Linked DNA regions of Macaca fascicularis. The protein of the gene in region 3 interacts with the protein of the main gene of each other region in a biochemical or structural test. Links are inferred from orthologs where the notes say so. Each region holds a gene or a part of one and is shown on either strand. Other genes may lie near its edges.

Region 1 (3,777 bases), on a different chromosome or scaffold from region 3:
TACATCTCTCCCCTTCTCACCTCCCACATCCAACCTGTTACCACTTCTTCTACTTTCCATCTCTGCTGAGCCTGTGGGATTCATGCTTTCCTTTCTATAGACTGTACTCACGTTTTCAACATCTCCTTTTATCATGATTAGCAGTGATCTCATTATAGTTTCCAAGTCTCAAGTCTTTTCCTGGACAAATTCGCACAGCTGCTAGGTTCATCTTTCTGAAATAGGGACTTAATTATATCATTCCCTACTCAAAACCTGTAGATGGCTCCATTAATTGTAGCATAATGTCTAATCTCCCTACCATGGTATTCATGACCTTGCAAAATCTGAATGTGACTAACTTTAAGCCTTTTGTACTTTGCTGTCTTCCTTCCCACGTGCCATGATTTTCACTTACATAAATTGTTTGCAAAACAGCTTTTGGTTTTCCAATTTTTCTGTGTTAATAATGTTTTCTTGGTCAGAAATGCCCTCCCTCCTTTTAAAACTACAACATTGATTGTTTCAAAAGGCTCAGTTCATCATTATTCTAGTTTTTGGAAGTTTTCTTCGGCTCCCATGGTTGGAAATAATTGCTCCCCTCTTGGCACTAAAATAGCACCTATTTCTCACATTTGGCACTTGTTTCCTGTCAAACGTGAGTGCAGAGGAATTCAGAGGAGTGGCTCCCTTTTAGTTGAAGTTTCCACAGAAAGTTCATTTCATTGAAGAAATAGGATTGGAACTGTGCCCCATGAATGGCAGGTATTTAGGCTGTCATAATTGAGGAGAATATTCTAGGTGCGACAACGATATATAACGAAAGAAGGAAAGAATTAATGAGAAACAGCAAATATGATTTGCAACAATAAGTAGAATAGCTTGTCTTGAAGAGGAAGTTATTTTAGTGGAACTGTGGGAAATAAAGATAGAAAGGTACCCTGCGATCTTATATGGAAGTCTAAGAGGCTTGAAATTCATCCTTTTTTTTTAAATAAGAATTTGATGAAGACTGTAAGCTTTCACTCTTCAGAAAAATTCACATAACTTTACATACTCAAATGTGTTCAAATAATTTCAAGAAGTCCACTGACTTCTGCGGTTTATGCATAGGTTCAAGGTTAGGGACTTTTGCTCTAGTTTTTTTGTTGTTTGTTTTTATGACAGAGTCTAGGTCTGTTGCCCAGGTTGCTGAAATACGCTGGCAGGATCTTGACTCACTACAACCTCTGCCTCCTCAGTTCAAGCGATTCTCCTGCCTCCGCCTCCCAAGTAGCTGGGAGTACAGGCACATGCCACTACGCCTGGCTAATTTTTGTATTTTTAGTAGAGAGGGGATTTCATCATATTGGCCAGGCTGGTCTTGAACTCCTGACCTCAAGTGATCTGCCCGCCTCGGCCTCCCAAAGTGCTGGGATTACAAGCGTGAGCTACCGCATCTGGCCCATTGACAAACTTTGAGCAGAGACTCCATGTAAGGTAAGACGGAGAAGGGCACAGGTAGACAATGGTGGCGGTGAGAGCATGGGGGAGTGTGGTGTGTGTGTGCATTTTACCAGCTACTTCTAAAATACATGGATGAGGTCAGAAGGGCTTAAACTATGGTGGCTGGACAGGAAATGGTGATTATGGGAGAAGCTTTGAAGGGAAAGCCCATCTAGTGACTGATTAGATACTGAGGTTGGAGTTAAAAGAAGGGCCAGAGATAACCGTCAACATGGGATGCTGAGTGACTGGAAAAAAGATAGTCTCATTCTCAGAAATAGTAATCAGAAGGGGAGCTGGTTTTATAGGGGAAGTGACTAGTTCATTTTAGATATCCTGAGTGTTTAATGACTTTGGGTGGGGGACAGTTCCAGCCCTAAAGCGTAGTGAGTTAGGCTGTTTTTTTGTTTTTGTTTTTTTGGCTCCAAGTTAAGTTTAGGATAAAGCCAGTGTTATCTACCTTCGGATAAACAGACACATATTAAACTTTACTCTTAATTAAACCACACAATCTCAAAAATGGAGGCTAAAATTATACTCTAAAATAATATATTTATTAAATATATCATCAAAAGCTAACTTAAGAGACCTATGCGGTTAAACAAAGCAACACAAATTATTTTGAGAAAGCATGAAGAATAAATGGCTGGCTGGGCTTGGTAGCTCACACTTGTAATCCCAGCACTTTGGGAGGCCAAGGCAGGTGGATCACGTTTGAAGTCAGGAGTTCGAGACCAGCCTGGCCAGCATGGTGAAATCCCCGTCTCTACTAAAAATACAAAAATTAGCCAGGCATGGTGGCGCACGTCTGTAATTCCAGCTACTTCAGAGGCTGAGGTGGGAGGATCTCTTGAGCACAGGAGGTCGAGGCTGCAGTGAGCCAAGATTGTGCCACTGCACTCCAGCCTGGGCAATGGAGTGAGACTCTGTCTCAAAATAAATAAATAAATAAATAAATAAATAGTTGTTCATATAAATTACTTTAAAAACACTCGCTTCAGTTTGGTTACATTAAAAGGAAAACAAGGGGAGGGAGGTATCAGTTCTAGGAGGAGAGCTTTGAACTAGAAATTAGGGACGGGAACCAGCACAGACCCTGCTGCTGTTGTTGGCCTGGCCTCTAGCGCTCCGTGTTCTGGTCACAGCACTTTGTTTTCCTTTGGTGAACTACCATTTGCTCAATTCTCATTTCATAAATTTATTTCAACCTGTTTTTCTGGAGATAACTCTTAAAATAATTGACTGGTTTTCACCAAACTTGAAATAGTAATAAATGTTACCAAGATACAAACCAAGCAGAGTTCACTTGTCATTTGAAACAACAAAAAAGTCACTGATAACTTCAAAGAATGCATCTTAATTCCTAGTGTGTACAAGACTGATGAGACTAAATGAATCAATATAAGTTTCAAAGCAGATAACTGCTGAATAAGGTCTCCTGTTCACTGAGCCATTTATTTCGAACTTGTATTTCGCCTACTGTGTAATTGTTGTTTGCCAAAAATGACCTAAAAGCATGACCTCACTTCTGTCAGCATAATCTTGATTAAGACTCAAATATAAGGGACTTAACCAGTTTCAATAAATATTTAATTTGCCAACAAAGTCACATCCAGGAAGCAAAACCCACTTGTACCTGCTCTATGACTTTACAAAGAATGGGCCATTGCTTAGACAGAAAGGACCATTCACATCTTACCTGCAGTGGACAACCACAGGCCCTCGGCCCTGGGAAGCAAGTCTGTCTTCTTCCACATCCAGCATGAGCTGTAGGAGGGGCTGGGCACTGTCTGGAGTCTTGTGATCAGGCCATGAGGTGTACCAGTAATGCTTCACATGTTGGGTGTGGCTTCCTTGCTGAAAATAGCAACAGCCACCAAATGCCTCATTCACTTGTGGAACTAAAAGTCATCCAAACCACAATACTGAATGCCTTTTTATCACCCCCATCTTGCTGGCAATTTATTTCTAGGTGGGAAAAACATTTAGAAGATTTTTGAAGAGTGCCCTTTTACTTTGAGAAGACTTTACTGTCAGTATTCAGTTCACAAAGTGAGAAAGTCTTACCTTTGTTGAGATTTATATCTCTACCTATAGCTATAATATAGATCATAAATGTAACATATGCTAAACATATATTTATAATTTGTTATAATAAACAAGATGGTAGGTGAAAACGTAGTCAAGAAAGAATGAGATATATTTTGTTTCCTGCTCTATGAGCATTCCTGACAAGTTGTTATAAACATATTAATCAATAGAATACTTAATTTCATATCAGTCATGGTAATACTTCTACACTCATCCCAAACT
Region 2 (2,627 bases), on a different chromosome or scaffold from region 3:
AAGTCCTGACTTTCTCAAAGGACATGCCAACTCCTTTGCCTGTGTTAATCTTTTCTTTTTCTTTTTTTCTTTTTTTTTATGAGACAGTCTCACTCTGATACCCAGGCTGGAGAGTTGTGGTATGATCTTGGCTCACTGCAGCCTCTGCCTCCCGGGTTCAAGTGGTTCTCCTGCCTCAATCTCCTGAGTAGCTAGGACTGTAGGTGCCTGCCACCATGCCCAGCTAATTTTTGTATTTTTAGTAGAAACGGGGTTTCACCATGTTGCCCAGGGTGGTCTTGAACTCCCGACCTCAAGTGATTGGCCCATCTTGGCCTTCCAAAGTGCTAGGATTACAGATATGAGCCACCATGCCCCGCCACCTATATTCATCTTTTCTACTTGCTACTCCTCCTTGCTGACCCTCAGATTTACTGTGAGAGGAGTCCTCTGCCCCTTACACGTGCTGAGGGGTGATGCCCCGTGTTGACGCTTGGTCTTCCTTGATTCACTCAGCTCCTGGGACAAAACCAGACCTCTGAAGCCTTGAGTCGGGCCAGGAATACTCCTGAGCCTCAAGTTTCCTTCTTTCTAATAATCTTAAAAGTAAAAATAATGATTCCATACATTTGTATAATAGTTTCCATTTCCAAAACACTTTCATATAAGTTAACTCATTTCTTACAACAGTTTTCTGGGGGAAGGAGCCATTATCTCTCTCTAGATAAAGAAGTGGGGGCTGGGCACAGTGACTTAAGCCTGTAATCCCAGTACTTTGCGAAGCCAAGGGGGCATTGTTGAGCCCAGGAGGTCGAGACTAGTCTGGGCAACATAGTGAGACCCCATCTCTATTATTACAAAAAGAAGAAAGAAAGGAAAAAAAAAGAAATGGGAGCTCAGAGAAATCTAGTGACATCTCAGTGAGACAAAAGTTGGAATGTGAACACTGGCTCTGCCTCAACCCAGTGAGCTTCTTTGCACTACTTGTTGCCTCATATCATGTTTAATTCCAGGCCTCCAAGCCAACTTTCCAGATAGATATTCTTTTTTTTTTTTTTTTTTTTTTTTGAGACAGAGTCTTGCTGTGTCACCCAGGCTGGAGTGCAATGGCACAATCTTGGCTCACTGCAACTTCCACCTCCTGGGTTCAAGCAACTGTCCTGCCTCAGCCTCCTGAGTAGCTGGGATTACAAGGGCCCGCACCAGGTCCAGCTAATTTTTGTATTTTTAGTAGAGACAGGGTTTCACCATGTTGGCGAGGCTGGTCTCGAACTCCTGACCTCAGGTGGTCCACCCACCTCAGCCTGCCAATGTGCTGGGATTACAGGTGTGAGCCACCGCGCCCGGCCATCCAGATAGATATTTTTTGCTGGTTGTTAGTTGCAAAATAAACAGCTCTAAGCAGAAAGGGTTTCTTCCTTTCTTGCAGGAGTGCTTGATGGTGATGGGCCTATCAGGGCTCTGACGCCCAGAGGCACTGATGCCCCCCATTAACGTTGTTGGCCTTGTTTACACCCACAGACCCACCTGTCTAGCCGCAGTTGGCACACAATGCCCAGAATGTCCACTTCCCCTCGGGCCTTCAGCTGTTGACAGCCAATTCGCGTGGCGATGAAGCAGCCTGTCCGGCCAATCCCTGCACTGAAGATAGCCAGGGAGGGGAAAGGGAGGTCATGGGAGACAAGGGAATCTAAGAGCCAGGCCCCAAACCATGGAGAAAGAAATGGGACCTGCAGGTGCTGTATTTTGGGGATAGGACTCTGGAGATGGGGGCAGGTAGAGTACTTCGGATTCCAGTCCCCTTGGGGACCCTGCTGGAGGCAGGTTATAACTGGCACGGGAGGAGTTTACATTTCTTACCAGCCTCACTGTAAGCCTGTTGCAGGCCACCTTCTGGTCCCTGTGGACGTTTTGATGATCTCCACTCTGCTGAGCATCTACAGCAGTTTCCAACAGACAGTTCCCCACTTGTGGGCGTGCTGACCCTTGAGCCCTCCTTATCTAACCTTGACTTCCTCTCAGCTCAGACTCATCTTCCACGCAGCCCATGCCCGGCCCCTCTGTTTCCCACCTTGGCGCCCTCCCACAGTCTTCTCTCCGCTCTGCTCTGCTTGCTCCATCGTGCCCTCTGTTTATTTCAAAACTCCCCAGGCCTCCTGTTCCTCTTGCGTGAGCCTCTAATGACCTCCCTGCACATGTCCCACTGCTACCTGTGGGTGGGCTGGGAAGGCCCTGTGTCATGCTTTTTGCCTCTGTGCTCTGTTTTATTTAGGATATGCACTCCCAAATGATCTCTTTCTTTAGTCTTATCCCCTACGATACCCTCTCACTCCAGCCCAATCCATTTTTCACTCTATAGCCAAAGTGTTATTTTACAACCAAGTGTCTTAGCCAGTCCTACAAGGCCCCTCATCATCTGACCTTCACTGGCCTTCCAAACCCATCTCTCATCATTACCCCACACATAACCTCTGGGCCCAACCTGTAACCCTGCTCCCAGCAGTGTATCCATTTTCACATTTCTTCTCTGGGCCTTAGTTAGCATATGCTGTTCCACCTGCCTGGAATGTGTTCCCTTCCCTCTCTTTGCTTGGCTAATTCACCTTTCAGGTCTTAGCTTGGCTTAGATGGCCTTTCTCTTGGAAAAC
Region 3 (4,234 bases):
AGGAAAAAAAAGAAAATAAGAATCTGCCTTGAAAGGGTCTTCAGAGGATATGTGGACCAGCCCTGCTGTTTTAGAGCTGGGGAGGCCCAGCGAGACGCAGTGACTTGCTTCAGACCACACAGCGAGATGGGGGTGAGCACAGAGATTTCCAATTGTCCACAGTTTGTGGTGGGGGCTGCAGACACCGCAATACAAATCCCCGCTCTTGGGTGGAGGGCTGGGACTGAGAGTGGGTGGGTGGGGTAGGGAAGAGGTGACAGGTGTCACAAGTTGCTAAGGAGAGCCAGACAGGAAGTGGACAGCAAACTAGGAAAGCAGTATCAGGGGAGGACAACAAAGGCTAGGCTGTCCCTCCCTGGGCAAGGTGCAAGTCCACAGGTGATTAGGGTGTGGCTCTGAGTGAGAAGTCCTAAGAAGGACAAGTTTCCATCTGGGGGAGGGGAGGAGGAGACAGCAACAGAAACACTTGATTTTAGGTTTCCTGGGCCTCAGCTTCTTCATTTTTTTTTTTTTTTTTTTTGAGACAGGGTCGCGTTCTGTCCCCCAGGCTGGAGTGCAGTAGCACAATCATAGCTCATTGTAGCCTTGAACTCCTGTGCTCAAGCCATCCTCCTGCCTCAGCATCCCAAGTAGCTGGGACTACAGTCATGCACCACCAAAGCTGGATAATTTTTAAATTTTTTGTAGAGATGGGGTCTCACTATGCTGCCCAGGCTGGTCTTGAACTCCCAGCCTCCACTGATCCTCTGGTCTTGGCCTCTAAAGTGTTGGAACTACAGACGTAAGCCATTGCACCCTGCCCTCATCTTTGAAATGAAGCTGCAAAGCCTATCTCATAGGGTAGTTGGGAGGTGTAATAGAAAAAAAAAAAAAAAAGCATTGGGCATGTATAGTACCTGACACGCAGTAGGACCTCAAGAAAGGCAGTTTTTTTGTTTTTGTTTTGTTTTGAGACAGAGTCTCACGCTGTCACCCAGGCTGGAGGGCAGTGGCACGATCTTGGCTCACTGCAACCTCAACCTCCGCCTCCTGGGTTCAAGCGATTCTCTTGCCTCTGCCTCCCAAGTAGCTGGGATTACAGGCATGCGCCACCATGCCCTGCTAATTTTTTTGTACTTTTAGTAGAGATAGGGTTTAACCATGTTGGCCAGGCTGGTCTCCAACTCCTGGCCTCAGGTAATCTGCCCACCTCAGCCTCCCAAAGTGCTGGGATTACAGGCATAAGCCACCACGCCCAGCTGACAGTTTGCTTTCTCCCTGTCTCCCTTCCAGTCTGGGGAAGGAGGAAAGAGAGGAAAGAACCATCCATTTGTTAGCAAGAAGTGACTGTGGGCAGAAGCTGGGTCATGTCTCAGAACTGCCGATGTCAGAAGACAACACTCCCATAGAGACCATCCTGTCTAGCCCTCCCCCTTGGGGCACAGAGCAGAGAACTGACTTGCTCAAGGCCATATTGCCCGGCTGCAGCAGGCCTGGGTTCATCAGAGGCCTCTAAGTCCTGTTACACTGTGGCTTCTCCTCTGCAGGAAAGTTTATTTTACTGGGTTTGTTTTGGAGGGTGGTGGGTAAGATGGAAACAGAAAGCAAGCAACGGGTCCCCAGCCCAGCTCCGAGGCTGTATATGACCAGCGGACTGGGCAAGGTGAAGGATACACATCCCTCATGGCTTCCAGGGTGGACGCACGCAGAATGTCTCGGATGCCGATGACATTCTCATGGCGGAAGCGCAGCAGGATCTGGATCTCCCGGAGCGTGCGCTGGCAGTAGGTCTGATGCTCGAAGGGGCTGATCTTCTTGATGGCCACGCGAGTCTTGCGCACGTGGTCATAGGCCGAGCTGAGGGGACCGGAGAGAGGCTGCTGCTGTGGCCTTACAAAGGGGGAGTCCGGGCCTGGTGGCCCCACCCAGGCCTTGGCAGGGAGGGGAGAGAGCAGGAGCTGGCTCTGGTCAAATCATAAACAATGCTGGTTCCTTCCTGCTGTGTAGGGCTGGGATCTCCAGAGAGAAAGCTGGGGACCAGCCAGGCGGCCCTTCGGTGACTTTACAAACAGAGGAAGAGACTGACCGCTCACTGACTTCCCCTCTCCTCAATCCCCTTCCATTCTACTGGCCCTGAACCCTTCGCCCCCATTCCCAGGAAAGGTTCCTTAACCCAAGACAGGTCCGGGGGTGCAGATGCTGGGGGCACACCATGGAGCAAATACTGGGAAAACGGCAGCCAGGGGAGGGGCAGGAGAGAATGGACAGGGCAGGGGCGGGTCCTAGGGTGAGGGAAGCGGGCAGCAGGGTTGTCCCAGAGCTCACGGTGGGGCCGGGGGCACTCACAGACCCCTCCCAAAACATGCAAGTGGCACTCCTGGCCCCCTCATCTCTCTTTGGGCACCTGGTGGTGGTGGTGGTGGGGCCAAAGCCCTGCCCCACCCTGATCTCGGCTCGTCTACCCCAGGCTCCCTGGCACTGCCTCACAGAGGGAATCCAAGACACCCTTTCCCCCAAAAGGGGCCCTCCACTGCCTCTTCACTAAGGATGTCGCCTCCCCGAGAGTACTCATCCTCTGGGCCTCGCCCCGTGTCACTAGGGTCCCCGCGGGCCCCCACATGCACTCAGATGCCCCTCCCGTCATTACAGAAGGGTGGACTCAAAGCCTCCAAGCCCCCTCCCCTGAGGACGCAGGCAGCGCCCTCTCCCCTAGAAAGCACTCAGGGGTCCCCTCCCTGGGACGCTCCCGATCATCCCGAGTCCCCTGCCTCCTCGGGACGCTCCGCGTCTCCACGTCCCGGAAAGCGCTCGGCGCCTCCCCCTCCTCTCCTGTGAAGCCCCCTCCCCTGAGGGCGCCCCCTCCCCCGGAACGCCCCCTCACCTGACCATGCCGTACGCGCCCTCGCCGATGTACTGCAGCTGCGTGTAGCGCGGGCCCACGTCGAACGGCTGCCCCTTCACCATCTCCACCTCCCCCGGGACCCCCGGGCCGACCCCCTCGGCTCTCCGGGGCTCCCCACCCCCGCCCCCCTGAGCCGCCGCCGCCGCCATCTCCACTCCTCCCCTCCCGCCGCCCTCCTCCCCCCGGCGGCCCCGCCCGAGGCCCCGCCCCTTCCCGCCCGCCTGTCACCCGCAGGGCCGCGCGCTCCAGGCCCCGCCCCTGCCCCGGCCCCGCGCGCCCCCGGCCCCGCGCGGGCCTGGAGCCGTCACGTGACCCACCCCGGGCGCGCGCCCGCCCTTCTCGCCCTAGGTGCGGGAGCCCGGGGGTCTCTGCTGGCTCCGCGGTCACCAAGTCATGGGGAGGCTCGGCAGCGCCGCCTCGGAGACTGTCCTCACCCTCCTCTTGAAGGCGAAGCGGCCAGGGCGTGACCTACCAGAGCCACCCAGCCAATGTGTGCGGCAGCCCACCAGAACCTGGGCCCGAGATCACCCTAGGTTAAAAAAACTGTTCTAATAAATGAATCAAATTTTACAGATGGGGAATCTGAGAATTGGGCTAACTAACTTGAGTAAGGTCACTAGTAATGACAGAGCTGAGACTCAAAATGATGTCTTCTGACAGAGGCTCTTTTTAATTCCATGCCTCTCAGAATCCTAGACTGTTTTTATTTTATTTTAGAGACAGGGTCTCACTCTGTCGTCCAGGCTGCAGTGCATGGTGTAATATTTACTGACTGCATTCTCAACCTCCTTGGGGTCAAGTGATCCTCCTACCTCAGCCTCCCAAAGAGCTGGGACTATGAGTGCGCTCCACCACGCCCTGCTAATTAAAAAAAAAAAAATTGGGGGACTGGGCACTATGGCTCACGCCTGTAATCCCAGCACTTCTGGAGGCTGAAGAGGGCGGATCACTTGAGGACAGAGTTGGAGACCAGCCTGACCAACATGGTGAAGCCCTGTCACTACTAAAAATACAAAACTTAGCTGGGCATGGTGGTGGGCGCCTGTAATCCCAGCTCTTCAGGAGGCTGAGGCAGGAGAATTGCTTGGTACCCAGGAGGTGGAGGTTGCAGTGAGCCAAGATTGCACCACTGCACTACGCCTGGGTGACAGAGCGAGACTCCATCTCAAAAAAAGAAAATATAATTTTTTTTTGGTAGATACTGGGTCTTGCGATGTTGTCCAGGCTGGTCTGAAACTACCGACTTCACAGGATCCTCCCACCTCGGCCTCCCAAAGCTCTGGGATCACACCTGTCCATCTCAGACTGTTACAACTGAAGAAAGGGCCCTCGGAGATCATCCAGTCCATCCCC
Region 4 (4,226 bases), on a different chromosome or scaffold from region 3:
GCACCTAGAAGAGTGCCTGGTACTCACGAGGGGCTCAGTAAAGGTTGGTTGCATGAACAGCCCCAACTAACTAGCTCTCATATCCCTTCTTCTTCCCCATCTGACCCCTATGCTGGTGTCTGAAATTATCTTTTTCCCATTTATTCATGGGATAAATTCTTATTGAGCATCTGCTGTTTACCTGGTACATTTTCAGTTGCTGGAGACATAGCAGTGAATGAGCAGACAAAAACTGAGTCCTCATGGGACTCACATTCTAATGTGGAGAGACAGACAACAAACAACCCACACAGTGTGTCAGACAGTGATAAAGGGCAATGGGACAAAGCAGGGACCTGGCTTGAGCCCTGCTGGGTGTGCAGCTTCAGATGGCCAGGGAGGGGTTGACTTTTTTTGTTTTTACAAGTAGCATTGTTAGGAACTTCTTCTTTATACATGTGCCTTCGTATAGTATATTCCAAGCACCATGGTGTGACAATCAATCTTTACTGAAATAACACTACCCAGGTACAACAAAATCAAATCACTCTTAGAAACATCTCTTATGCCTGTGCCTTTAGGAGAGTGTATTACACACGCCACAGTGGTTGTTTTTTGGTTTTTATTCAGAGACAGGGATCTCACTATGTTGCCCAGGCTGGCCTGGAACTCCTGGGTTCAAGTGATCCTCCCACCTCGGCCTCCAGAGTAGTTGGGACTATAGGTGCACACCCGTGCCCAGCTACACACCACAGTTTTGTGAACACATTCTTTCAATGCAACAACACAGTCCTTATTCACATATACAAGTAGCACTCTTAGAAACAGCTTTTATATTTGTAACTTTACAGAGCATATTACATACCTCAGTCTTGTGAACACATCCTTTTGAAAAGGAGGAAAATCCTTACTCATATATAAACTGGCATTCTTAGAAACATCTTTGATACATGTATCTTTTTATACTGCATTCCACACACCACAGTGTGGTAAACATCCTTTGGGGGTTGGTATTTGAACAGAGTGCTGAAAGGAACCATGCAGAGATCCGGGGGTGGTGTTCAAGGCACAAAGAACGGCCAATGCAAAGGCCCTGAGGCTGGCCCATGCCTGCTATGTTTGAGGAGCTGTGTGGTGGAGCCAGTGTGGTTGGAGCACAGTAAGGGGGTGGGAAGGTATAGGCGGTAATGCTAGAAAGGTTACTTGTTTCACCATTAATTCACAGGTAATATTTATTTACACTGGAGGGGATTCTAGTTCTGATCCCCCATTTCACAAATGAAGAAAAAGGTACAGAGAGGAAGTGGTTAAATCACACATCGAAGGTCACACAGCTGCTGGTATTGGGGGGTGGGTGGGTGCTGAGAGAAGGTGGGGAATGAAGACCACTCTGCAGGCAGAGGGAACAGCAAGAACAAAAGCTTGGAGGTGGGAACTAATTTGGTTTTTAAGGACTGAGGCCTCACGTGGGGTGGGATGCGGTCTAAGAGGGGAGCCTCAAAAATTATCCTGTGTCCTGAGTACTTCCTGGGCCACCTTTGAGTAAGGAATTTAACCTTCCTATGGCCCAGCTCGCTCACTACCTATCTCATGGGGTTGTGGTGAGGATTAAAGGAACTCATTCATATGAAACACTCTGCCTGATACACAGCAGGTGCTCAATAAACGCTAGCTCCTACTGGCATTACCATCATCACTGTTGCTAATGTATTCACTTATTGTAGTGAGGCAGAACGTCTTTGTGGTTACTAGTGTGATCAGGCTGACCCACTATTAAGAGGTGAGGGACAGGCAAGGCCATACACTGCTCCACAAGGAAAAGAGGATCAGCACGTTCTCTTCTGGGAAGGGGGAAAAAAAAGAAGGAAATTGAAAGTACACGGCCGACCTTCCCCCAATTACAAAGCACTGGACTCACGGGACGGTATGCGGGGGACTGTGCAAGCATACAGGGGTGTGGGGGAGGAAGGCCAATGAACAGATCCACTGCAAAGGGAAGGGGTGATGAGGCTCATCGCCTGAGGGGAAGGGGAGCAGAAAACCTTACAGACTCCTGCACCACAGTAAAGGGAGAGAAAAGCCATCACACAGACTGATTCAAAGCAGAGAGGGAAAAGGCTATGGACTGAGCTACTGAAAATAGGGAGATATAAAGCACTAAACTGACCCACTATTAAAAATAAGAGAGAACCCCAAGGGCTAGAGTGACAATCTACGAAAACGAGAGGGCAGATAGGGCAATGGACTGATAGCTAAAGGGACGTGAATCCAAACATGAAGACTGATCCACTATAAAATGGTGGTGGTGGTGGGGGCGGGGGGGAGGTGGTTCTGAAAAAAGCCATGGACTGATGCATTGGGGGACTGGAGGAGGCAGGAATACAAACTCAGGTAGACTCACTGTTAAAGAGGGATGCGGAGGGGTGCGGCGCCACGGATTGATTTCGCTACAATGTACAGGAGGGGTGGAATAAACAAGGCCACGAACGGGTCTTATGAAAGTTGAGGCTAGGAGAAATCCAAACACTCAGATACACCTACTATTAAGGGGGCTGAACACTGTCACAGGCTGGCTCCCTGTAAGTGGGGGTGGGTGGGGGGCGGGTGGGGGTAGGGGGAAAGCCTATGGACGAGTCCACCCTAAGTTGGCGTGGGGAAAAACATAAGCACGCAGACCGATCCATTACACAACGGGAGGGGGAGGTTAGGCCACGGTCAGATCCACTACAAGGGACGAAGGGCTTGAGCAATGCCACACGCAGGTCCACCAGCCGTGGTGGTGGCGGCGGGGAGTCGAACACCAGCAGGCCACCGGCCAAGCCACATCCTTTGCGCGGGGGCGGGAAGGATACGTGGGGTCACGGACGGGGCCCTCCACCCTCCAGGCCCAGAGCTCACCTGTGTGTAGCGTGGCGGTGGCGTTGGCAATGTTGGCAGCTCCGGGGGGCGGGGGCTCCATACGCGGCCCCACCGCCCCCCAGGCCTGGGTTCCGAGGCGGCGGTGGCGGTGGTGGTGGCGGTGGCGGCGGCGGCGGCGGCAGCACCTAGAAGCCGCCCCTGCGTTTCCCTACGGCTCACGTGGGCCCGGGGAGGAGGAGCCCAGTGTCCCGCCGCTCGCTGATTGGCCAAAGCGCTATTAATCGGCCGCAAGGCCTCGAGGGGTTGGGGGACGGGCCCTTCCCCACAGAGCTGTGCCGTGATTGGCCTAAGGGGAAATGATGGAACGCTCACGGCCCCTGGAGTCCCGAGGAGGCGCGTTCGGCCTTCCCGGTGCTCTACGCCGATTGGCTCAAGGACTGACGGACTGTGAGCAACTGACGAGGCTCGGGGCGTGTGTGTAGAGGGCGGGGGGCTGCCTCACACTGATTGGCTTACATGGGATTGATGGAAGACAGCCTCCAAGGACGGGGGTGGGTAGCCCTGTTTTTCTCTGATTGGCGGATGAGGGACTCCTAGACCCCTGCCAAAACACCAAGGGGGTGGTGCCGCACGCCACGCTGCTCAGCGGAAGCAGGACTTGTATAGAAATGGGCGTAGCAGTCGGCGGGAGTGGGTCGGGCTGGGCTCCGCGTAGGCGGGCAGGGCAATTCTTTGGTTAGAGAAGACCATAGAGCTGGGTAGAAGACGAATTTAGAACACAGCGGCGGTAGGAAGGCAGGATGGCTGTCAGGCACACGAAGGAGCATTGAGTGGCAGAAACGAAATGCCTTCAGAGGGCAGGGTTGAACTGTGGCCAGAGTTAAAAAGGGGAGGAACCTGGCTCTGCGTTGATTGGCGGAGGCTGGACTCAACCTAGAATAGGGGCCGGACTAGGGAGAGCGGGATCCAGCTCCGTGCCTATTAGAAGCTGGAACCACTTACAATAGCAGGGGCTAGGACAAGGTAGGGCTGAGATGGATTTAGGGTAACGATTGGGTGTGTGAAAGGGTAAACCTTAGGGCCCTTTGATTGTTGTGGGAATGAACAAACCTCCACCATGAATTGGCCCATTCTCTATGGCAATTCAATGGGTGGTGTCTAGGAAAAGGAATGGAAGGGTGAGGTGGGGGCCCAGGTTGCCAAAATGACAGGAGAGAGGGCAGTGCACAAGGTCAACTGGCAAATGCTGCCAGGCAACAGGCTGGAGGCAGGACTGTTGGGGCATTTTAGAGGTTCCACAGAAAGAGACTGGATCTCTGGGTCTCTCAGTAACTTTGTGCCCTAGGAACAGGCCCCCGTGGCAACCAGCAGGGTTTATGGGGAAAAAG
Region 5 (4,356 bases), on a different chromosome or scaffold from region 3:
TGCAGAAGTTGCCTCTGGTGATACAGCTCGCACAACGACGACAGAGGGTGGCCAGTGAAATCCCCTCCCCCAGGAGGGGAGGAAACCGCAGAATGTTCCTGACTCGGCACCCGGGCCGGTGGCGCAATGTTTATGTTTGTGTACCTAGCGCGTCGCGTCGCTGCAGCAGGCTGTGCTGTCCAGGGGGCCGTCACTGGGACTCAGGGCATGGATATCGCTGGGCGTTGGGGGCGGGGGGTCTTCCCAAGCGTTGCGATCCATGTCCTGGCAGTCCGCCCAGAACGGCCCGGGATTGGATTTTGCCTTCAGCCTATAACGGAAGCGACGACAGGGAGCGAGGGTTGGGGCCGGCTTCTGTTCCGGGTTGGAGCCCCCCAGCCCAGCGCTTAGTGGGCGCTCACTCAGTATACTGCCTATTTGTGTAATAAAGGGATGGAGAAGCTCGGTCTGGAGCCAAGGTGACAGAAACGTGTCGGGCGGCCCCTGGGGGGCGCCGTCGAGTCGCGCTGCGGGTCGCCCCTCACCCCTCCAAACGCCAAACCCGGGAATCCACCGCGGGGCCTTGCGACCCCCGACCGGGATTTCAGCCCCTTGACCTGCCTTCCTTGGCTCCAAGTCTTCCGGGGGCCACAGACTAGGAATAGCATTATTTCCCGGTGGGGGTTTGCTCGCTTACACTTTCATGGCAAATGTAGATATTTTAAAGCCACCTTAAAGAAAGTCGGGGAAACAGGAAAGCATTGCCCTGAACCTCTCCGCCCCAACTCGCTCGAGTCGTTTTTGGTAGGAACGACTTTTCTATCGGCAGAGCTGTTCATTTTTCTCCAAACTTCATCTTAGGCGCCTCTGTGCTGCCCCACGCGCCGCCCCACCCCACACCCCAGTAGTGTGGTTCTGGGCAAGTCAGTAGCTTCGCTTGGGGAACCTCAGTTTCCCCGCCTGTTAGTGATGAGGAAATGAGAGAAAGGGGCACAAGAGTATGCAAAAGCGCAGGAAGCCCCTTTCGGCTCAGGTCGAAGGCCGAGGGGCACGGGGAAGGGGACTCGGGGAGGGAGAGACGGAGGAGCGGCGAGGCCAAGGCAGATGGCACGTCGCCCATTCTCCCGGCCGCTCGCATCCCAGAGGTCAGCCTCAGCTGGCAGCGAGCCCTCCGCCTCCCCGCTGGGCCCGGAGCGCGGCGCGGGCCCAGTCCCTGGGGACGCGCCAAGAGCAGGCCGGACGGCAGGGCGGGGGCCGGGCCGCGAGCCAGCGCGCAGCGAGCGGACCCAGCTCCGAGGCTGATGACGTCTTCCCCTGTAGCTCGGCGGCGCCGGGCCGGGCAGGGCGGGTGACGTCACCGCCCCGTCACGTGATCACCATTCAAACAAACACCCTCCTCCCCCTGCGCGCGGGTCAGGCCCGCCCCGTCGCCCAGAGGCCTCATATAAACGAGCTCCCCAGATAGGGCTCGCTGCGAAGGACGTTCGGGCTGTGTGTGCGACGTGGTTCGAAGGGGCAGTCGGGGCAACCGCGAAGAAGCCGAAGAGCCCAGAGCCCCGCGTGACGCTCCTCTCTCAGTCCAAAAGCAGCTTTTGGTTCGGCGCAGAGCGACCCGGGGGTCTAGCTTTTCCTCGAAAGGCGCCGCCCTGCCCTTGGCCCCGAGGACAAAGAGCACCGCAGGGCTGATCACGCTGGGGGCGCTGAGGCCGGCCATGGTCATGGAAGTGGGCACCCTGGACGCTGGAGGCCTGCGGGCGCTGCTGAGGGAGCGCGCGGCGCAATGCCTGCTGCTGGACTGCCGCTCCTTCTTCGCCTTCAACGCCGGCCACATCGCCGGCTCTGTCAACGTGCGCTTCAGCACCATCGTGCGGCGCCGGGCCAAGGGCGCCATGGGCCTGGAGCACATCGTGCCCAACGCCGAGCTGCGCGGCCGCCTGCTGGCCGGCGCCTACCACGCCGTGGTGTTGCTGGACGAGCGCAGCGCCGCCCTGGACGGCGCCAGGCGCGACGGCACCCTGACTCTGGCGGCCGGTGCGCTCTGCCGCGAGGCGCGCGCCGCGCAAGTCTTCTTCCTCAAAGGTACGCCCTCGGGGAAGCTCGGGGCGGGCCGCACACCCCTGAGATTTTGCCCGGTACCCTCGGCTCTTGGCTCCCGGGGGGTCGCCCCACCTGCAGCGCGTGGGCGCTGGAGTACATTTATCTCTGGAACTTGTCATTGGCTTTGTTTGGCTCTGGGAACAAAGACTTGCCTGGGCCTTTCCGCTGTAAACTTCCAGCCCTTGGTGGGTGGGGGAGTCGTATGAAGGTGCCCTGTCCCGGCGTCACTGAGGAAAAAAAAAATGTCTTTGTATTCCCAGGAGGATACGAAGCGTTTTCGGCTTCCTGCCCGGAGCTGTGCAGCAAACAGTCGACCCCCATGGGGCTCAGCCTTCCCCTGAGTACTAGCGTCCCTGACAGCGCGGAATCTGGGTGCAGTTCCTGCAGTACCCCACTCTACGATCAGGTTAGTAGGTGTCCCTGCCACAGGGGAGAAGTAAGAACTGGCAAAGGCACGGAGGAGTGGTGCCAGGGAGAATATAGAAAGTGACCTGCAGCATTATTTATAACGGAGGGGACACAGGGATATGATTGTAGGCTCTACAGAAATGAATTTGCTGGTCCTGCCCAGGCAAATGGGCTTAGTTCCCTATTTATTTATCCTCCAGCAACAGAACTGAGTTCACTCGCTATCTGAAATTGACTTTTCCAGCAGAAAGTTTTTGTGGGTGTGGGCACTGGCCTTGGCTTTGAGCGAGCTTGATGAATGTTGGATATTTCTGGATTTCAGGGTGGCCCGGTGGAAATCCTGCCCTTTCTGTACCTGGGCAGTGCCTATCACGCTTCCCGCAAGGACATGCTGGATGCCTTGGGCATCACTGCCTTGATCAACGTCTCAGCCAATTGTCCCAACCATTTTGAGGGTCACTACCAATACAAGAGCATCCCTGTGGAGGACAACCACAAGGCAGACATCAGCTCCTGGTTCAACGAGGCCATTGACTTCATAGGTAAATGGAATGGATGCCTGGGGCTTTTCTGCCTCTCTGTTCTCATTTTAGCCCCTAAGCCCAACCTCTGTGGCAAGAGCTTGAAGTCTTATGAGCCTTCTTCCAGACATTCAGTATCAGTCTGGTGTGGGCAACATTCCTGCAAAATGTGAATTTGATTCAATGTCCCACTTTACAGATTTGCAAACTGGGGCTCACAAAGTTGAATTGACTGGTGTGAGATCTATCTGCTGAGTGGAAATCCCCAGTCTGAGTTTAAATCCTGTGCCATCCTTTGCGCAGTGCCCAAGTTGCTTCCATGAACAGTAGCCATGTGATGGCGTGTGGTGATGTTGACCATTTCTAGACAAGACACACATGACCTTTCTCAGATACACTGTACCTGGGCTTGGGGTGGTTCTCCTGAGCTCTCCAGTAACCAGCCGCTCCTTTTGTTTTCTAGACTCCATCAAGAATGCTGGAGGAAGGGTGTTTGTCCACTGCCAGGCGGGCATTTCCCGGTCAGCTACTATCTGCCTTGCTTACCTCATGAGGACTAACCGAGTCAAGCTAGACGAGGCCTTTGAGTTTGTGAAGCAGAGGCGAAGCATCATCTCCCCCAACTTCAGCTTCATGGGCCAGCTGCTGCAGTTTGAGTCCCAGGTGCTGGCCCCACACTGCTCGGCAGAGGCTGGGAGCCCCGCCATGGCTGTGCTCGACCGAGGCACCTCCACCACCACTGTGTTCAACTTCCCCGTCTCCATCCCTGTCCACTCCACGAACAGTGCGCTGAGCTACCTTCAGAGTCCCATCACGACCTCTCCCAGCTGCTGAAAGGCTGTGGGAGGTGAGGCTCTTCACATCCCACTGGGACTCCAGGCTCCTTGAGAGGAGAAATACAGTAACTCTGGGAGGGGCTCGAGAGGGCTGGTCTTTATTTATTTAACTTCGCCCGAGTTCCACTGGGTTCCTAAGCAGTCGTTGTGATGACTTAGCGTCAAGACATCTGCTGAACTCAGCACATTCGGGACCAATATGTAGTGGGTACATCAAGTCCCTCTGACAAAATGGGGCAGAAGAGAAAGGACTCAGTGTGTGAGCCAGTTTCTTTTTGCTCGCTCCTGTTTTTTGTAGAATCTCTTCATGCTTGACATACCTACCAGTATTATCATTCCCGACGACACATATACATATGAGAATATACCTTATTTATTTTTGTGGAGGTGTCTGCCTCCACAAATGTCATTGTCTACTCCTAGAAGAACCAAATACCTCAATTTTTGTTTTTGAGTACTGTACTATCCTGTAAATATATCGTAAGCAGGTTTGTTTTCAGCACTGATGGAAAATA
Region 6 (4,509 bases), on a different chromosome or scaffold from region 3:
AAGATGTTTCCCCCCTCTGCACCTCCTTGTCTTTCTGAATTAAATAAGTTTTTTGTTTTTCTTTGAAATGGAGTCTCATTCTCTCACCCAGGCTGGAGTGCAGTGGTGCAATCTCGGCTTGCTGCAACCTCAGCCTCCCAGACTCACCCAATTCTCATGTCTCAGCCTCCTGAGTAACTGGGACTACAGGTGCCCTCCACAACGCCCAGCTAATTTTTGTATTTATGGTAGAGACGGGGTTTTGGCCAGGCTGGTCTCGAATTTCTGACCTCCAGTGATCTGCCGGCCTCAGCCTCCCAAAGTGCTGGGATTACAGGCATAAACCACTGCGCCCAGCCTTCGAATTAAATCAGTTTTTAAAAAAATCGTTTTAAATAGTTATAACCTAGTTCATCAACTACTTTTTCCCCTTATCTCATATGCTTGTGGCATTCTTATAAAGAGGATTTCTCAGTACAATATAACATGACTATGATGTATACCAGAAGCAGCAGCTACTTTGGGGTAAATATACAGCCATTAGGCTGGGAAATACTTTCCAAGTTTGGTTCTGATGAACTCGGGCCTCTACTGAAATAAGCAAACTAGCAGAGTTTTAACTTACAACAGGATGCAAAAATTCTTAATACCCCCAAAAACAGTAGACGTAAAAGAATACTGTTCCCCGGAAGCTTAAGGTTACACAGATCAGCAGTTTCAACTGGGGGGAAACTGAACTTTCGAAAGGGCAGAGGCTTCCAGTCATGTAAGTGAACACATCACATCCTGGCCTAAGAAAAGCTGTTACTGAAAGCTGTTAAGGTCTGACACCTGATGGGCTGAAGGTGCATCGAAGATGGGAAAGAGAGGCTAAGGCCATCACACGATTCTAGATTCGTTCAAATGAGTGAAAAAGGTGCTTGACCCAAATGCCTCCAAACCTGGTTTTTTTGAACTAAAGTTGTTTGGGAACAAAAACACCCAAGAAATGGGTCATAAAGAGAGTCTGGGTGAGCGTTCAAGGAGCGGTAAGTCAAATGGAGATACAATGTCATACTGTTTGCAAATTGTTTCAAAAACAAGTTTCAAGGTTTAGTGTAGTGTTCAAATTTGAAAACTAAGGGTCACTTTTTCTTTTTTTTTACTGTGGACACTCTATTCCACTAGCTTGTATGGAAATCTATTTGTAAAGATAATTTTTGGAAGCTCTTTGGGACAAAGTTTTAAAAATATTTATTAAATTGTTAATAGTAAATCACTGCTCCTTAATCCTAATTAAAGTATTCAACCTTCCTAACGAACTGATACAAGCCTGAAGAGGAAAAAAGTGTATTTCTTAATAATTATACTTTGGCTACATAGACACTCCTAAAAATGAGCTTTCAAACTGAGATGAACAATTCACTGCTTCATCCCTCCTATAAATCCACGTCCACTTTCAAAAGTCATGTGCTAAATCAGAATTTTTTTTTTCCTAGCAAACATCTACGTAAGAGCCTGATTTCATTGACACACACACTTGCACTCCGCAACAACAACACTTCCTTTGAAAAACAGAATGTCACTTCCTCAGTCCAGAGGCCAGAAGTCCCTTGATTCTGATCTGGGGAGCCAAGACAGGAAATTCTGGTAGGCTTCTGCTTCTCCCCCCATGGACAGCCACTGGTGCAGCTGACAGAGGGCAGGGTCTATTCCGAGCTCCCTTGATGCACTGCAGCTGGAGGCAACGGCTCCCTTCCAGGCTGTGGGAGTGATCCCGGAGTCCGGCACCACAGCCCGTTAAACAAGGGCATTTCATGGGAAAAGGAGAGGGAGCAGATGAGAGACCTTGAAACCTTCCAGCCACCTTACCCCCACTTCCAAACTCCCGCGACTACCCCAGGACCATTTCGGCAAAATCTCAGTAACTGGCACCATCTTGTACTTTGACCTCACCAGGCAAGGCATCCTCTGGGGAGAGGGGTTAAAAAAAAAAAAAAAAAAAAGCCAGAACTCCACGGCTCAGCGCCACGCCGTTCCACCTCCCCCAAACTGCCAGTTCCCCACCTAGAGGGAAGAGGCTGTTCCAGCGATGTCAGTAAACACTGTGGGTTGGCAACACCTGGGCGCCGAGAGCCTCGATCTCTCCCGACCCCAGACAACCGGGAGCTGCCAGGTCCCAAACCCGGGCCAGCCACGGGGACCAAACTGCAGTGTCACACCGGGGTCGGGGGAGGCGCCTGTGAGAGACGAACGGAATAAAGGGAGAGAAGGGGGACAAACAAATGAGTCACTTAATACAAGGGCTGCACATGCCGCTGACGCTGCCGGTGATGCAGCCGCGGACGGAGTGAGGCCGGCGGCCGGGAGGGGCGGGCGGAGAAAGGGAAGGAGAGGGCGTGAGGCGCTCGCCCTTTGTGGGGCCGTCCGCGCGGGCCCACAGCCTACGCCCCCCTTTCCCGCCCTCTCCCGGACCTGTGAGCTGAAGCTGCTAGGGGCCGCCGCGGAGCCCCAGCCCCGAGAGTCAACTCTCTCGGTCTCCAGAAGCCATCAATACAAACTTCGACACTATATTTAGTTTACGGGCAGACCGCCTGGGGAGGCGCCGACGCCGCGCCCGCCTGGCGGAGCAGGAGCCGCAGCCTCAACCTGCCGCCCGCCCCGCCCCGCCCCTCGGCGGCGCACCTGTGACAGGTGTGCAGGTACCCCACACGACCCTGGCCGCTCCTCGCCCCCGGCCCCCGCGGCTCCGGGCCCGAGCTCCCCAGCCTGCCGCCCCTCCGGGAGCCCCCCGCCCCTCCGCAGGCCCCGGAGCGCCCCCCGCCCGCCCGCCCGCCCCTCGGCGGCCGCGCCCGCACTCACATAGCGCCTCAACTTCTTCTCGGGAGGCGATTTCCTCAGCCAGCCGGTGCACACCACGTCGCCGCCGCCGCCGCTCATGCTGCCGGCCTGGAGCCCGCCGCTGGGTCGCGCGGACTAGGGCGCGGGCTCGGGCAGCTGGGGCAGCGGCCGGCGGTGCGCAGCTCGCGGGAGGCCAGGGGCGGGGCGGGCGGCCCGGCGGGGACTAGGCGGCGCGGCGCGCGCCCGGCGGCCTCGCGCGCGCCCGCTCCCCCGCCCCGAGCGCGCGCAATCCGCACTCTCCGCCGGGCCGCCGCGGGGGCAGTTGCAGCGGGAAGGCCGGCGCGCTCGCCACGCCCGCTCCCGCCGCGCCCCCGAGGCCGCCGCGCACGCGGACGCGGGGCTGGGGATCCGCCAGGACACAGAAAGCCACCGCCGCCGGCGAGCCCCGGAATCTCGCTTTCTCCTGAGGCCTCAAGCTGCGGGCGCGGAGGCCGGGGAGGCGGCCGCGCCCCTGGCGCTGGCGGGCGTGCGGAGAAGGGACTGCGCGCCCTCCGTCGTCGATCGATTTTTCACCGAGCGTCGACGGGGAAGGGATCCGAGGGTTGCTCGCGTTTCCGATCCATTCTGCGGGTCAGGTTCCTGCTGAAAGGAGGGACCCCTTCCCAGTAAGAAGTTCCTTAACTCTGGCGCCCCTCGGCGGGAGGAGGAGACGGACCTACTACGCGCCGGAGCCTTTGCACTCTTGGCTTACAGGATTGTCTTCAGTATTGTTCCCATTTTATGGACTGCCTAAGGGCAAGGGCTTGTACAAAGCCTAGCCAAGTTTCCAATTCAGGTGTGTGGGGGAGGAGGGGTCCCAGTCATCCCCTATTCAAAATGAGGGCATTGCCTTAATGGGATCAACCTGGGAGCCTCTCATTGCCTGGAAACAAAGTCCAGCTGAGTCCCTCCTACATTGCCTCTAGGAAAACAGTTAAGTATAGAAAACTCGCATGATTTGTAGAATGGAAGAAGCAAACCTAGTAAATATATTTCATAGTGAATTGGAAGGCAAGGTCAAGTGTAGAAGAACAAGAAATTGGGGTCCAAATTCCCCAACGTCCCCGCTCATTGACAGTGTCTCTCCAAGCAGCATTAAAAGGCAGGTCCTCCCTAACTTCTCTGATAAGTGGATAGTATCCTGTTTATTCAATGGGGAACCGTGCTGTGTGGACAGATGAATTGGAGAAGCAGCATCTTGCACTGCCCCACACAACCTTAGACTAAAGCTGTTTTGTTCATTTCTGTCTCTGTGCAGCTGAGATGTTTCAAGCAGTTGGACATCATTTGGTCCAACAGATCTTGATTGGGTTGGGGGAAGTTCACCCTCCTCAGTTTGGAAAAGCGAATCCGCTATCACGTACTTAGCTCTTCTAGATACCCTAGGAGTTTTAGCAGTCAGTCTCCTGGATCTAACATTTCACTGACTTTCTTCAATATCCACTGTGCTGCTGGATGGGAAGTAAAGCCAGAACTGTTAGGCTGGGACCACAGCTCCCTTAACCTTCCAATTTGGGGATCCTTAAGTCACATATGAAGGGCCACCACCAGAATGATGGCCATTTTAACTTCTGGCTTTAAGTACCTTAAATCCCTGTAAGACATACAATACTTAACGTCTGCCAAATCAATCAGGAGGCGGTGACTCCCCACCAAAATAAACCCATCCTG
Region 7 (3,777 bases), on a different chromosome or scaffold from region 3:
AAAGGTAAAACTGACATTTGTTTATCTTCAACAATTTCATGATCAATAAAGAATTTCAGTTGGAGACTAAAGCAAATTTTAGAAACTCCTTAACTCCAAGTTGCCCTATGGTTTTTATGATTGCGTGTTATCAGAATGAGGCGTTGTGTTCCACACGTTATTCAAAAGCCTTTTACGCTCCCACAAGGCCTTCCGGAATTCCAGAGTCAGCCCTGCGCACAGGCAGAAAACCAGCTGCATCTTACAGGTTGTGAGAGAACGCCCAATACACCAGGGACTTTTTTGGGAAAAACTTCTCTCTCTCCAAAATTACACAACCACCAAACACTCTAAGCATCACGTGAAATGCTGCATTTGCAATCCGAATGGCACTCAGGGACCAGTGCTTTGATGAACCAGCAGCAACACGTTCGCCACTGACAATCAACTGCAGAAGCCACTCCTAGACGCCGGACCCCACGGCAGAGTTTTTCCTTTTTTTTTTTTTTCTCTCCTTGTAATACATTTTTATCCACAGAACATTTGCTTTTAAATAAAGAAACCTCTAAGACTCTGTATGCAAATTAATGGAATCACAAGATAATAAAGCTTTGATTCAGAGACACTCATTTATCCCTCCACCCCTTCCACTTCTCACACCAGAGAGAAAGTCTGCTTAAGGCGGATTTAAACTGAGGACTTTGTTCAAAAGTCTTCCTCAATCTTATGATTGCTGCAACATGAAGCCAGCAGCACTGACTCCTGGAAAAAACAAGCATAACCCGGGCTGAACCCCAGCGTGTGGGCCGCAGAGGCAAATCAGTCATAAAGTCCGCAAGCGCACACCCCCAGAGACCCCGAGAATGTGGCTGTCTTTCTGCAATGCCCATGTCCGGGCACCCTTGGACATCCAGAATTCAGCATGTCCTTACATTCCTGAGCCACACCCCGGCCGTCATCCCTTGTGAGGAAGAGAGGGGGTGAGTCAAATGAAAACGTCTTAAGCAGCCACTCAGGCCCACACTCTTGGGCTCATATGCGTTCTCCAGCATGGAACGAGACCTTAGACAGCAAGAGGCTACGTGCCAGTTCTTCCTCTAATGGCTTAGTTCACCTACTGATTTCTCCTTTGCTTTTCCATTTAAACTAAAGCTCCTCTACTCCTCAGAGCTCACCTTGCCAGAGCCCCGCTTGGGCACACCCCTGTCACCGCCAAAGAAGCGCCCAATGGAGTCAAGGATGCCCGTGTCTCTGTGCCTTGGGAGGAAGCCATGCCTGGCATGGTCCATGGTACTTGCTGTGGCCAGGTACTTGGATCCGTGCCTCTGGGAGGGTCTCTTCTGTGACGCCATCACATCCAGGCTCTCGGAGGTGGCTGCACTGTCTTCTTGGATGGTCTGGAGCTCGTCGGACTCAGAGGGCCTGTCTTTGAAGGTGTTGTCCTCCCTCCCCGGGGCATCTCGGGAAAAGAGGCGGATCAAGTGGGGGCGGCTCCCTGGGTCAGCTGGGTGGGCATCCTGCCAGGCATTCTTCGGGTCCGCTGTGCGCTTGGAGTCAGTCACCGCTGTGTCCTGAGAGGAGGTCCCATTGTTCTGGTTCGCATCTGCCTCTCCTGCAAACAACAATGAGATATGAATACGGCCTGTGCAAAGCTGAGCACCGGACAAAGCAGCTTTCTTTCAGGGGTCTTGACCTAGCTGTCTCCTATAAAACCCACAGAATATGTGCAGTCCTCATAAAGCCTTTGGCCTAGGATGGAGCTAACCTGGATGGAGCAGGCTTATTGCAGCTCTGTGTTTCAGAAGGTCCTGGGAATTCCTCAGTTATTCGAGATTTGGCACCCTGGGTAAAATGCACCAAGGCTTCCCGATGAAGTAGGAGCACGCAGAGCGGCCACATCAGCATTTCTTCCTGGGTGCTGCCATGGCTGCTCCTGGAGAGCCCCAGATGTGCAGGCACCTTAACGGGACATGGACTGTTTAAAAGGCCACTGGTGCATAAGTTAAATATGTAAGGATCATTTATTTCACAAAAGGTGTTTTTAGTTTTCTTGGCAGAAGCAAAACTTGCCACGTCTTTTTGCAATCCATGCATGAAAGAAGTGGGGCATTTAGAATTTTTTCAATCCCAGATTCCACAAGAGGCCTCTCACAATAGAGAACTGCTTATTCAGGACATTTTGACTTGGCTTCTCCTCTGGAAGCAGAAACAATTAGAAATCTGAAGTGGGATTGAGAAATCTCATGTTGTATACCAGCATCTCATAGCTTTCTCCAAAAAACACAGCATTTCTGACACAAATGACATTAAAGCCATTTTACTTTCAAGTTATAGTGTTAGGTTTAAATGAATATCATTTACTTAGTTTCCTCTCCAAACTCGATTACTTATCTACAGAAAACAGGATTCACTCACATATTCCTGTAATACCAGTCAATACATCTATCTGTCCATTCATCCATCCATCCACATATCAGTTCATTTACCCATCCATCCATCTATTCATCCATCCATACACACCCATCCATCCAGCCATCCATCCATCCCCCATCCACTCATCCATCCATTCATCCATCCACTCATCCATCTACCCACCCATCCATCTATCCACTCATGCATGCATCCATCCATCCATCCATCCACATATCAGTCCATTTATCCATCTATCCATCTATCCATCCATCCATACACACACCCACCTACCCATCCCTCCATTCATCCATCCCCCATCCACTCATCCATCCATTCATCCATCCACCCACCCCTCCATTTATCCATCTATCCATCATCAATCCATTTACCCATTTATCCATCTATCCATCCGTCCATATATCCACTCATCCATCCATTCACTCATCCATCCATCCATCCATCCATCCACTCATGCATTCATCCATCCACACATCAGTCCATTTACCCATTCATCCATCTATACATACGTACATCCACCCATCCATCCACTCATCCATTCATCCACTCATCCATCTATCCCCTGTTCACTCATCCATCCACCTATCCATCCACTCATCCATCTATCCACCTATCCATCCATTCATCCACTCATCCATCCATCCGTCCATCCATCCATCCATCCATCCATCCATCCATCCATCCACTCATGCATCCATCCATTTACCTATCTGTTCACCCATGCATCCATCCATCCATTATTTGTGAGTATCAAATAGGTGTAATGTACTGTTCTAGATATCTGAGTTACAGTGATGAACAATATGTGGTCCTTGTCCTCGTGAAACCTACATTCTAGTGGGGAAAGCAGGTGAAAATGTATGTTATGGATTGAATAGTATCCCTCCAAATGATACATCCATGTCCTAACCTCTGTACCTGTGAATGTGACCTTATTTGGAAATAGGATATTTGCAGATGGAATCAAGTGAAGAGGAGGTCATTCTGCAGTGGGGTAGGCCCTACTCCCATCACTGGTGTCCTTATAAGAAGAGAGCAGTTTGGACACAGGCACAGACACCCAGGGAAGAGGTGTGAAGATGGAGGCGGAGCGTGGCGGGGTGCATCTACGAGCCGCAGAACACCAAGCACCTCCGGCACCACCAGGAGTAAGAGACATGGCGCAAATTCTCCTGTAGAGCCTTCAGGGGCAGCAGGGCTCTGCAGACATCTCAGCTTGAGAGTTCCGGCCTTCACAATGATCACAGAAGAATTCCTGTTGTTTTAAGCTCCCAGCATGTGGTAATTTGTCTTGGCAGCCCCGGGAGACTCATGCAATGGGCAACTTCACATCAGGCAAGAGAACAGGAAAGCAGAGAGGGCTTGGGT

The links.
Region 1: the proteins of MAPK3 (region 3) and PTPRR form a complex in vitro, tested with the Homo sapiens proteins (2 studies listed by BioGRID). The link is inferred for Macaca fascicularis from reciprocal best matches to the Homo sapiens genes MAPK3 and PTPRR.
Region 2: the proteins of MAPK3 (region 3) and PTPN7 form a complex in vitro, tested with the Homo sapiens proteins (3 studies listed by BioGRID, with this or other methods). The link is inferred for Macaca fascicularis from reciprocal best matches to the Homo sapiens genes MAPK3 and PTPN7.
Region 4: of the proteins of MAPK3 (region 3) and ELK1, one has a biochemical effect on the other in vitro, tested with the Homo sapiens proteins (6 studies listed by BioGRID and IntAct, with this or other methods). The link is inferred for Macaca fascicularis from reciprocal best matches to the Homo sapiens genes MAPK3 and ELK1.
Region 5: of the proteins of MAPK3 (region 3) and DUSP1, one has a biochemical effect on the other in vitro, tested with the Homo sapiens proteins (2 studies listed by BioGRID and IntAct). The link is inferred for Macaca fascicularis from reciprocal best matches to the Homo sapiens genes MAPK3 and DUSP1.
Region 6: of the proteins of MAPK3 (region 3) and GAB2, one has a biochemical effect on the other in vitro, tested with the Homo sapiens proteins (2 studies listed by BioGRID). The link is inferred for Macaca fascicularis from reciprocal best matches to the Homo sapiens genes MAPK3 and GAB2.
Region 7: of the proteins of MAPK3 (region 3) and MBP, one has a biochemical effect on the other in vitro, tested with the Homo sapiens proteins (5 studies listed by BioGRID). The link is inferred for Macaca fascicularis from reciprocal best matches to the Homo sapiens genes MAPK3 and MBP.

The regions. Positions count from the first base shown.
Region 1 is NC_088385.1:77,398,235-77,402,011, forward strand, and holds part of PTPRR (receptor-type tyrosine-protein phosphatase R), read right to left. Parts: intron 3,322-3,777; coding exon 3,164-3,321; intron 2,391-3,163; coding exon of another isoform or gene 2,285-2,390; exon of another isoform or gene 2,240-2,284; intron 1-2,239. UniProt on the Homo sapiens protein: Sequesters mitogen-activated protein kinases (MAPKs) such as MAPK1, MAPK3 and MAPK14 in the cytoplasm in an inactive form.
Region 2 is NC_088375.1:59,905,806-59,908,432, forward strand, and holds part of PTPN7 (tyrosine-protein phosphatase non-receptor type 7), read right to left. Parts: intron 1,621-2,627; coding exon 1,507-1,620; intron 1-1,506. UniProt on the Homo sapiens protein: Protein phosphatase that acts preferentially on tyrosine-phosphorylated MAPK1. Plays a role in the regulation of T and B-lymphocyte development and signal transduction.
Region 3 is NC_088394.1:27,971,574-27,975,807, reverse strand, and holds the start of MAPK3 (mitogen-activated protein kinase 3), read right to left. Parts: upstream 3,066-4,234; 5' UTR 3,031-3,065; coding exon 2,861-3,030; intron 1,837-2,860; coding exon 1,654-1,836; intron 1-1,653.
Region 4 is NC_088395.1:47,748,076-47,752,301, forward strand, and holds the start of ELK1 (ETS domain-containing protein Elk-1), read right to left. Parts: upstream 3,051-4,226; 5' UTR 2,878-3,050; intron 1-2,877. UniProt on the Homo sapiens protein: Transcription factor that binds to purine-rich DNA sequences. Forms a ternary complex with SRF and the ETS and SRF motifs of the serum response element (SRE) on the promoter region of immediate early genes such as FOS and IER2.
Region 5 is NC_088380.1:179,585,351-179,589,706, reverse strand, and holds the start of DUSP1 (dual specificity protein phosphatase 1), read left to right. Parts: upstream 1-1,452; 5' UTR 1,453-1,691; coding exon 1,692-2,058; intron 2,059-2,336; coding exon 2,337-2,482; intron 2,483-2,806; coding exon 2,807-3,026; intron 3,027-3,468; coding exon 3,469-3,839; 3' UTR 3,840-4,356. UniProt on the Homo sapiens protein: Dual specificity phosphatase that dephosphorylates MAP kinase MAPK1/ERK2 on both 'Thr-183' and 'Tyr-185', regulating its activity during the meiotic cell cycle.
Region 6 is NC_088388.1:77,317,122-77,321,630, forward strand, and holds the start of GAB2 (GRB2-associated-binding protein 2), read right to left. Parts: upstream 3,001-4,509; 5' UTR 2,899-3,000; coding exon 2,821-2,898; intron 1-2,820. UniProt on the Homo sapiens protein: Adapter protein which acts downstream of several membrane receptors including cytokine, antigen, hormone, cell matrix and growth factor receptors to regulate multiple signaling pathways.
Region 7 is NC_088392.1:3,780,767-3,784,543, reverse strand, and holds part of MBP (myelin basic protein), read right to left. Parts: intron 1,592-3,777; coding exon 1,155-1,591; intron 1-1,154. UniProt on the Homo sapiens protein: The classic group of MBP isoforms (isoform 4-isoform 14) are with PLP the most abundant protein components of the myelin membrane in the CNS. They have a role in both its formation and stabilization.